2 linked regions of the Coturnix japonica genome follow. The protein of the gene in region 2 interacts with the protein of the main gene of each other region in a pairwise test. Links are inferred from orthologs where the notes say so. Each region holds a gene or a part of one and is shown on either strand. Other genes may lie near its edges.

Region 1 (5,898 bases), on a different chromosome or scaffold from region 2:
CCTCCCGGTAGAGCGGGCAGTGGCCCCTCGGGTGGGCTCCAGCGGGGTCGCGCCTCCCTCCCCGCACACGGCCCCAAGCAGAGGGGACAAAGGGCAAGCAGGGACCGGGGCTGGGTGTCCCAAAGCCCCTGTGCAAGTTCAGCTCTGAGAAAGGGCCGGTGGGAACCCAAACCGTCCTACGTTTTTAAATATAACCCAAGCTATCCACCTTTTCCTGAAGTCCCGCTGCCAAGGGCCCTTGCTCGAGCCCATTGTGAGCTGCCCTCACCCTGCCCTGCTCTTACCATCGCGTCGGAGCAGCTGGAGCTGGGGCTGGTGGGCTCGGAGCAGCTCTGTCCCGGCAGGTGATAGTAGTTCTCCACCTGTTCCCTCAAGAGCTCCTGGAGGCTCTCGATGTACCTGATGGCGTTCCTCAGGATCTCCACTTTGGGGAGTCTCTGGTTGGGGTTGGCCGTGGTGCATCTCTTCAAAGTCTCGAACGCTTGGTTCACTTTCTTCAGCCTCCTCCTCTCCCTCATAGTGGCCGCCTTCCTCCGGTCCATGGTGGTAGATTTCCTCTTGCAGGCTTTGCAAGCCCACATGAGGCAGTGGCCGGCCTGGTGGTGCCCACTGGGGGCCCGGATGTGCTCCTCTTCCTCAGGGCAGGCAGGCTCAGTGGGTGCAGGGGCTCCGAAGGGAGGCAGCTCCCTGGGCTCAAAATCCTCGGGGAACTCACCCTCAGGGGATGACAGGCAGGAGCTGTCATAGAAGAGCTCGGATGGGGAGAACTGGCAGCTGTCCATCACCTCCATCTCTTCGTCCTAGGCAGAAGTGTGGGCTGGCAGCTCGCAGCTCAATGCAGCGATTCCCTCTGCAATTAGCGACCCGAGACAAAGTGGCCTCCGGCTGATGCGGGGCCCTATTATATATGCGCATCGTAGGAGGCTGGCCCGCAGTGGCCCGACTCCATTAGCATATCCCCCGCAGCCCCTGCAGGGCTGGGCAGGCCCCCTCTGGCCCCCAGGGGGCTGATTTGCTCTTCACCCGCCTTCGGGCAGCAGACAAGCTGGCAAGCGGTCTCTAAAGCCTACACCAATCTGGGGAGCTTGGAGAGGGAAAGAAAAAGATGGGCAGTGAGTGCATGGGCCATGGACATTCCCCACGTCAGCCCCTGCATCACCTTGCCATCACCAAGGGGAATGAATCCCCCCACACCCACAGTGCCTGCTCTCCTACCCCTGATCCCACACCCCAGATCCAACTCGACATGATTTACTCCTCTTTCAGCACTCACATTCACCCACTGATCTCAGAAGGCACTTTGTGCTGTAATTAAAGCTACGTTCCCACAAGAGAGGAGAACAAGGACAGATAAGTGTAACGAGGAGCGAGCAAACAGATGTTAGTGCTCTTGGGTTGGGTCAGACGGAGAAGCGCTCACAAAGAGCGTTTGCTGCCAGACAAACCCCTTCCCATTGCTTCTCCTCCGTGTGCGACCTGATGCTGCTGGAGACACAACAGCCGCACAGTGCCCCGGGCCCGCTGATTTTCTGCTTTCAGGCCAACTCGCACCGTTACAGATGCGTCCCAGCTGCCGGCATAACAAACCCCTCCTGGAAGTGTAAAATTTCTAACCCCAAACCTCTCGGTAACTTTACACAGGGCAGGGACAAAGCCCCGCGGAGGCCCAGCCGCTGCAGTAGCGAGCAGAGCTGCGCAGGGGTCATTAGAGCGGTAATGAAGCCATTTAACAGGCAGCTGCTAATGTGCGGGAACCCTTTGGTTTCAGCCAGGTGGCTTTGGCGGTTGGGGAAAACATTAGGAGACTGTAAAGGCAACTTTCCCTACCTGGGAATAGAATTATGTGATTAGGCTACCGCAGAAAGAGGGAAAGGAGCCTGCGGTGATTTGGATGGAGTAGAGGGCCACGGGGCTGCGGAATGGCTGCGGGAAGGGGAAGGAAGGGGCATTGCCACCCTGCTGTCTGCAGGAGCCTTGAGAGGGACACAGTCTCAGACACTGCGCCCACCCAAAGCTTCTGCACCTGCCTGGGCAGTGAGCAGGGTCTGGGGTTAGGATCTACCCCTGACCCTTGTGGACCCCTGCCCTGTACTCTCATCCCTCTACTGCCAAGGGAAAAAAAGAAGAAGAAAAAAAGGAAAACAAACAAACAAACAAAAAAATGGGACAAATTTTCTATTCTTAGGCTGAAACTTCTAAAGGAAAGTGCAAACGTGTATGCAGCCTTCAATATGAGAAAGATCTGGGGGCTTTGGGAGGGCTGTGTCTTCACTGCAGTGGCTTATTTGAGTCCATAAGTGGGGATAACCCCCTCTGAAAGGAATCCAGCAGGGAAAGCAGAATGTTGCTATCACGACTGAAGTTACAGAGAGGCAAGGCTGGGCACGTCGATCCTGTGCCATGGGCAGCTCGGCCGTGCCCTAAACCGCCGGCCGGGAAGGCTGAGCTCCGCGGTAACGTGAACCCGTCACTGGGATGTAGCTCACCCCCCCCCCCCCCCATTTGATGTACGACGTTCGCTCCGGCTGAAGGAGAGCCGTGTACAGCTTTGTGTACAAACACACTCGCTCCTTATCGGGCCGGCGCTGTGCGTGCGGGGCGGCGGGGCCGGGGCTGAGAGCACCGCGGTCCGTGAGAGGCTGGGAAAGCATCGCCCACCGTGCTGGGCTATCGGGGGTTGGGGAGAGGGGAAGCTGTGCAACACAAAGCATGTTCTGGTGTCCCTCGGGAGCGCCCAGCTCCTCTGGTAAAGTGATCTCACAACAAATTTCCACAAGTGCGGCAGGCGACTGGAACTAAACGGGAGGGGGACGCAGACACACACACGGCTACAGGGGAGGGGGCTTCCAGCCCTTTGCAACAAAATGCTTCTGACGGAAACAGCGGGGTATGCGGGTTTGGGCTGCGGGATCGGCCCGTTGGGGCAGAGTTGTGTCCGTGCGATGCCGCACCGAGAAAGACGCGTTTGGTCCCCGTGCACCTAAGTAAACACATCGCTACCTGCCGGGGGGGGTCGGGTGGGGACAGCTGAGGAAGGCATTGGCCTCTGCCGGCACTCCGGGACTCCCAGGAGAGATCAAAGGGACACGCGGGGGCTTTTAGCAGCCTTGAGACTGGGAAAGTCGCAGTTCCCGCTGCCGGAGGGCTCCCGGCGAGCACATGGCCCCGTTATTTGCCTGCTCATCCCCCGCCCCCCGTTCCCATTCCGCTGCCCGTTTGCTTCAAAAACCGTCCGCGCTCTGCAGGCAGCAGCAGCCGGAGCGGGCTGTGAGTGCTCGGTCGTGCCTGTGAGCGCCGAACGGGGGGTGGTGGAGCGGGAGGGGGCACCTGCGTTAGTGTGATCTGCAGAACAGACGTGATTAAACCACAGACCTCGTTCCGATAATATGATCCAGGGCCCTGTTTTGGTTTCGGGCTTGGGTATTAGTTATTAGTATCGAACCCAAACGCTTCAATTGCAATCACAACGAAGCACAAGGAAGCGCGGGGTCACGGAGAGCCCCGTCCGAAGTGTTCGGCTGAAACGGGCTGCGGTCGCGGAAGCTCCCTCGGGCTGAGGGGGATCACCTGAGGGACCGGGTTTAATGAGCAGGAGGAGAAGGCGGTAACACAAAGAGCTTTATTTTACAGTCAGAGGAACCCGTTCTTATATACAATATCACTTCCATCATTTAAATACATATCTGTCATGTTTACAAAAGGCAGTACTGAAATTATTTACAGACGGGAAACGAGACGGGGGTCGCTCTTTAGCACGACTCACAAGAAACGCAGCCAAACGGCTTCACCCTGACAGGAATGGACTGCTCGGCGACCGCTCCGCCGGTACAGCGCTAAGTACCGTCAGTTCAAGATAAAAAAGAGGATGGGGGGTGGTCTGTGGGTCAAAACTCGGAGAAAACAAAACGGGAGATAGAAAGAGGGGTGAGAAAAGAGTCCGTACGGCTCCGCTCTCCGAGGGCCGTTCCGCCGGTGGGAGCGTGCCCCGAGAGGCGGCCGGAGGCTCATTTCTCCACAGCCTCCTCCGCGCCGGGCAGCTTGGGCTCGTCGGAGGAAATGCTGTCCACGATGGACGAGAGGCAGCGCAGGCTGCTGGAGGCCGACGACTCCACCATGGAGCCCCCTGCTCGGCGGGAGAGAGGGGTTAGAGAGCGGGAGCGGCCGGGAGCCGACAGAGGGGTGGGAGCGCCGGGCTGTGTGTGAGCACCGGGCTGTATGTGAGGCCGTTACCTGCTTTGGGGCTGCCCCCCAGCCCGCGGGAATGCTCGGCAGCGCCGTGCCAGTCGGAGCCGCAGGTGCTCAAGAAGTCGGAGCCGGGGACCTGCGGCGGGGCGCGGGCAGAGGGGACGCTGCGTTAGCGGGGCGGGCGGCGGCGGGGCTCGCGCGTTACCCCGACCCCCCTCGTTCCCCCCCTTTCCTCCCCCCGCGGCCGTCAGCCCCATGTCAGGGGGAGGAGGAGGGGAAGGAGGGAGGGGAGCTCGGGCCCGCAGCTGGGCGCCGGAGGGAGCGAGCCGCCGTGCTTACGTTTCCTTGCTTGGGGCTGAAGCTGAAGGGATCCGCCGCCACCTCCTGCATTTTGTCCTGTTGATCCAGCCTGTGAAGCAGGTCCTGCAGGCTCTCGATGTAGCGGATGGCGCTGCGCAGGATCTCCACCTTGGGCAGCCGCTGGTTGGGGTTGGCCACAGTCCGTCTTTTCAGAGCCTCGAAGGCTTCGTTGATCTTCTTCAGCCGCCTCCGCTCCCTCAGCGTGGCCGCTTTCCGCCGGTCAGTCGGGGCCGACTTTCTCTTGCAGGTTTTGCAGGCCCAGATGAGGCACTGGCCGGGGCAGTGCGGGGGCTGCAGGCCCGGTGGGGCCAGCACGTGTTCCTCGCCGCTGCTGTCGCTGCCGGCCTCCGGCGGCAGTTGGTCCTGACACGGGGACAGGGTGCCGTCGCTGCCCGGGTACAGCGGGGAGCCCTCTGCCATCTCCAGCTGCTGCAGGGCCCCATTCTCCCCGTCCAAGTAGAAGAAATAGGAGCCGGTTTCGAAAAGGTCCATCATCATGCTGTCCCTCGGCCCCTCTGCTTGCTCCAGTGGGGTGGAAGGCTCAAAAACACCCCGAGGAGCAACCCAGATGGAATTTAATTAGTGCAGTGACATAAGTCCCCACTGCTTTATATATAGGAGCTACTGAAACCCTATCCAACTTTTAGCTGTCGCGGTGCATCACCCTCCAAAACTGATTCCAGCCAGTCTCCTGGGCGCTGTCCTGAGAACATCTCCTATTTAGAAGGCTGGGAAGGAGGGGGCACACGGAGAGGGAGGCAAAGAGAAGAAATAAAGGAAAACAAACGACAAAGAGAAATGCCCCCCCGGGAGGCCTGTGAACTTGGGACGAGGTGGTAAGGAGGGGGCTTGGGGAGCTGTGTCTGAGCCCAGCAGGCAGCTCTGCTGAGGGCTGGCAGGGAACACAGACACAGGGCTGCCTGCTGAGCCCTCCCCAGCCGCACACACACACGCACAGATACATACACACACACACACACACACAGCACCCACTTCTTACCCCAGTGCCAAGTATAGGTTTTGTAAAGAGGGCTTTCAAAGGCAGCCCTGGTTCTCCAAACAAAAGGGTGAATATTTTCAGAAGCTCCTGCTATTCCGGTAGCCCCCTCGAAGCATGCCATTCGTGTGACCCACAGCTAGCCCAAGGTTAGGAGCCAGTCTCACTATTCCTCCACACACGGGGGAAGGCTGCCAAGGCAGAGCCGTGCTGCAGAGCTGAAGCACCTGTGGTTATCACACCCTGGTGCAGTGTTTTCCTTTGAACTTTCCGATGTTTCCTGGGAGATGACAGAAGTTAATTCAGGTGACTGGGTTACAGCCTAATGGGGCTCTCTGGACAGCCCCTGTCCTTGA
Region 2 (4,231 bases):
CATCCATGCAGGTCCGTGCTGCTCAGCCACGTATCTGCATCCCAATGCACGCTACCACGATAACTCGTCCTTCCTGAGCCCGTCCTGCTGCTGTCGCCGCTTGGGCTGGGGGCTGCAAAGCCCATCCTAAGCCCCACCCCCCAAAATACGGCCCAGCTGCTGAGCCCCGCGCAGTGCTGGGTGCTGCCGTGGGGCTGTGGCCGTGTCCCCATCATCCCCACGTTACAGCTGTGCCCTGTGTGGTCCGTCCGGTGCCGCGTTGGGGGGATCGGCCGGACGCTTTGATGTGCTGTGCTGCTGGGCAACCCCAACACGGCGCAAAGCAGCCGCAATCCCGGCCAGGCTGCGCCCCGCCAGCGCCATATGGCCGAGACCGCTGTTACCGAACCGTGCGCCCCTTTCCCAGAATTGAGATGGAAATGAAGCCATCCGTCTTGCCCTGCACACACAGCGGCACAACCGCTCCCAACTGCAGCCAAACCAGCGGCGAAGGGCCGGTATCTCCATCATCCCAAGTGCCAAGGGGGTCCCTCAGAGCCACGCTGCGGGATGGGGTGGTGGTGGGACACCCATCGCTGTCCCCAAACCACCCGGGGTGGCCGATGCTCCGCGCTGGCTCGTCCCAGCCGTGCCGTATTGTTGGCTGCGCAGCTGGCGGGCGCCCGGCTGTGCTGAAAGGCATTCATTGCTGTGCACAATGTCCTCGGCCTCCCCGCCGCGGCCGGGCCAGCGCCGCCAGATGGGGGCTAATTAGTGGCTTTGAGAGCCGTGGTGGGAACCGGGCAGCACCAGGCCCTCCGCGAGGAACTGAATGGAGGGGGCGACCCCAGAGCTGTGCCCACCCTGGGAACCGCGCCGGGACAGAGGGACGGCGACAGAGGGGCTGGAGGTGCTCACAAAGGGTGGGGGTGGGGGGGCAGAGGGATGGAGGGACTGGGGGATGCTGCTCTCCCAGCCGGGCTGGCAGGGCAGAGACGGAGGTGATGGGGTTAAAGGCCCATCGTGTGCACGGCTCTGCAGGGCTGCCCCTCTTTGCAGAGGAGGAGGATGAGGGGAGGCCTTCGGCTCACTGCGTGCCACAGGAGGCTGCTGCGGCTCCGCATAGAGCCAGGGATGGAAACTGGGGGGGCGAGGGGGCTCTGACCTCCAACAAACCCCTGCCATGAGGGCAGGACGGCTCGGCTCCCTGCAGCCGCAGCAATCCCTGCACACCGACCCCATGCAGCTGGATGCACGTGCATCTGCCCATGCATGGGTCTGCATCTGTGTGTGTGTGCCGTGCATGGGTGTGCAGCTACAAGGTGTGAACCTCATGCACACACCTACGTGCCCACTTGTCCACACGGTTCCCGGAGGGGTCTCAGCTGTACCGGGGGGGGGGGGTCCCCGAGCAGCAGCCCCTCTCGATGCCGCCCGGCCCCCGCTGAACCGTGACCGCACCTCCCTGCAGGTGCGGGCTAAAAAGGTAGCGATCATTAACGCTAATTAACGCTTAGATCGGAAACCCTTTAGGGCAGGGACCGGGTTTCTGTTTTCGTCTTCAGACCGCACGAATGTTACCGCCACCCAACCGGCCCCAGGTGCCGCTCACCGGGGTGTCTCCTTGTCCCCACGGGGGTGGTCGTGTCCCGTTCCCGGTTCCGTCTGCAGTGCCCCCCCCCCCGCCCCCCCGCCCCACTCCGCCCCCGTCTCCATGGGCGCCGCCCGCCCGGCGCCGCGCTGACAGGCGACGGAGTTTTATAATGGGTGACGTCACGGCACTGGCGTCTAACGGTCTGGGGAGCGGGAGGAGGGGGGGGGGGACGAGGGGCCCGGGGGCTGCAGGTGCGGGGGGTCGGGGATGGGAGGGGGAGAGGGACAGGAGGAGAGGGGCTGCGGGTCTTGGGGTGCGGAGGGGGCACCGGGCTGGGGGGAACCGGGGGGTGCGGGGATCCCGGGGGGTGCGGAGAGAGACAGCGGCGGGAGCCCACGGTGTCACTGCCCACATGAAGGGTCTGGGTCGGGCCGGGCGTTTCCAGCTCGTATCCCGCACCCCGAGAGCATCACACCCCCTTGAACCCCCCTCGCATTCCTGAGCCCCCTCCCCACTCCGCTCTGCACACCGCGGTCCCTTTAAGGCGCTGCCCATGAATGGGGCCGGCTCAGCTGTCCCCGCCCCCTCTGCGCTCCTATTGGTCAGCGCTCTCCCGGAGGCCCCGCCCCCCCGCTGGCGGCGCTCTATAATTGGCGCAGCGCGGCACGCAGCTCCCACGGCCGCCCGCAGGGTCCCAGCGCCGCCGCTCGCAATGAAGGTCGCCTCTACCGCCCCGTCGCCGCTGCCCGCCGGTCCCGGTGGGGCTCTAAAGGCCGTTCGACCCGGGGAAGCCGCTCGTTGCGGGCCGGGACCTGGAGCCGTCGCTGCCGAACAAGCGGCCGCAGCGCTGCTGTACGATATGAAGGGCTGCTACTCCAGGCTCCGGGCGCTGGTGCCCACGTTGCCGCGGCACAGGAGGGTCTCTAAAGTGGAGCTGCTGCAGCATGTGATCGATTACATCTGGGACCTACAACTGGCTCTACAGCCCGGCCCTGCCCGGCCCCCGAATCCTGCTGAGCCCCCAGAGGTGAGTGCGGCCCCTCCCGGCCCGATGGACCCGCTCCCATCCTCCGTTCTCCTGTCCCGATCCTCCGTTCTCCCATCCCGATCCTCCTCCGCTTTGTGCCCCGTTCTGTGCCATCCCCATCCACACTGACCGCCCGCTTTTCCCCTCCCGCAGGCTCCGTGCATGGCCGCTGCCGACCGTATATTGTGCCGCTGAGAGACACCGACACGGACCCGAACGGAGCCCCCCCCCCCCCATAAGGGCACGGACGGGACCCGCATCCGAGAGCACGGAACGGACGCCCCTACGGAGCCGACGGCCGCGGCTCGTAACCTTCTCAGATTGCTGAGAGCATTCCATGTATTGTATATTACAATGATGCTGGAGAATATTGTTCTACAATAGCTGGAGTTTTGTTATTAAACAAGCCCTGATTACCAGGCAAGCTTCTTCCTCGTGGTTGCACTGTATGGGACTGTGTGGGGCTGGGGGGGAATCTGGGCACGGAGCATCGAACCACTTGGAGCCCATCTGTGTGCATGTGGTGTGGGAGCACTGGGGCTGGGTGCTGGTGCTGGGCTGTTCTGGGGCAGGTTGATGGAGTGGGAGCCCTGGGATGGAGCAGGGAGAGCATTGGGTGCACCTGGATCCCAGCTCCTGAGCTGGCCATGGGTTTTCCTATACACCCTGCAGGGCTGGGGGCTCTGGGTTGGCTCCTTGCTTCCCCCGGGGCAGCCATGCCTTCCCGGTGGGGGGTTTGTGGTGCAGGCTGCTGGCTGGGGCTGTCTGTACTGCATTGCTGGGGCTGTAGGTGTCACATCCCTGTCCCAGCATCGTACTTGTGGAGCCAGCTGCTTTGCCCTGGGATCACCACGTTTTGCTCAATCTGCCCTGGGTTCTAATATGGTTTGAGGCTGAGACTGGGCTGGAGGGAAGGAGGTTCCAGCCACTTCGGCTCCTGCCGTGGGAAATAGTATGAAGGCCCGGAGCTGCCCCCTGCAGGTGAGTGCCGGGCTCAGGGCTCCGTGCCCACCTGGGTTCTACACCTCGGGGCAGGGCTGAGCCGCAGCTGGGCCATCATCGGGCAGCTCCTGGGCCTGCCCTCACCCCGCAGGGCTGCCCGTGGCTCCCCCATGACTCACGTACTGTCACCTGTGAGTCACTGCAGCAGCTGGGACACAGCGTGGGACAGTCCCCCATGTGCTGCCTGGAGCTGCAGCAGCGGCTGTTGTGCCCGGGATGCTGCGGTGCTGCCCGTGCAGCTGCTGCTCAGCCCGGGGATCACGGTCAGGATTTGAGCGACATTCCTGGGGAGGGAAATTGCATCGGACACGGTTGTGTAACATCGGGGCTGTGGTGGCACTGAAGAGGTTTGTGTGCTCACACTGGGTACATCCCAGAGCAGGATGGGGGGCAACCCGGGCTCTGGGGGCTCCATCTGCACCCCCCGGGCTGGCTCCATGTGTTCCTGCCCGCAGTGCAGTGATGTGCCCTGAGGGGGGGGGGGGGTGGCTGTGTGTCCCACTTTGGCTGGAATAGAGTGGGAATGTGGGACCCCCATCACTCCTGCAGCCCCATCCCTGTGCACAGCGTCATGTTCACAGCCCTGTGTGCGCTCTTCCAGCACAACCAGCCCCTCTCAGCACAGAAGG

Evidence for each region. The genes of interacting proteins can lie anywhere in the genome.
Region 1: the proteins of ID1 (region 2) and MYF5 interact in binary tests that used the Homo sapiens proteins (3 or more experiments, as listed by UniProt). The link is inferred for Coturnix japonica from reciprocal best matches to the Homo sapiens genes ID1 and MYF5.

The regions. Positions count from the first base shown.
Region 1 is NC_029516.1:36,350,686-36,356,583, reverse strand, and holds the start of MYF5 (myogenic factor 5), read right to left. Parts: upstream 3,514-5,898; 5' UTR 792-3,513; coding exon 285-791; intron 1-284. Other genes in the region: MYF6 (myogenic factor 6), read right to left, coding at 4,005-4,123, 4,231-4,321, 4,525-5,043.
Region 2 is NC_029535.1:9,035,542-9,039,772, reverse strand, and holds ID1 (DNA-binding protein inhibitor ID-1), read left to right. Parts: upstream 1-2,232; 5' UTR 2,233-2,285; coding exon 2,286-2,600; intron 2,601-2,753; coding exon 2,754-2,795; 3' UTR 2,796-3,024; downstream 3,025-4,231. UniProt on the Homo sapiens protein: Transcriptional regulator (lacking a basic DNA binding domain) which negatively regulates the basic helix-loop-helix (bHLH) transcription factors by forming heterodimers and inhibiting their DNA binding and transcriptional activity.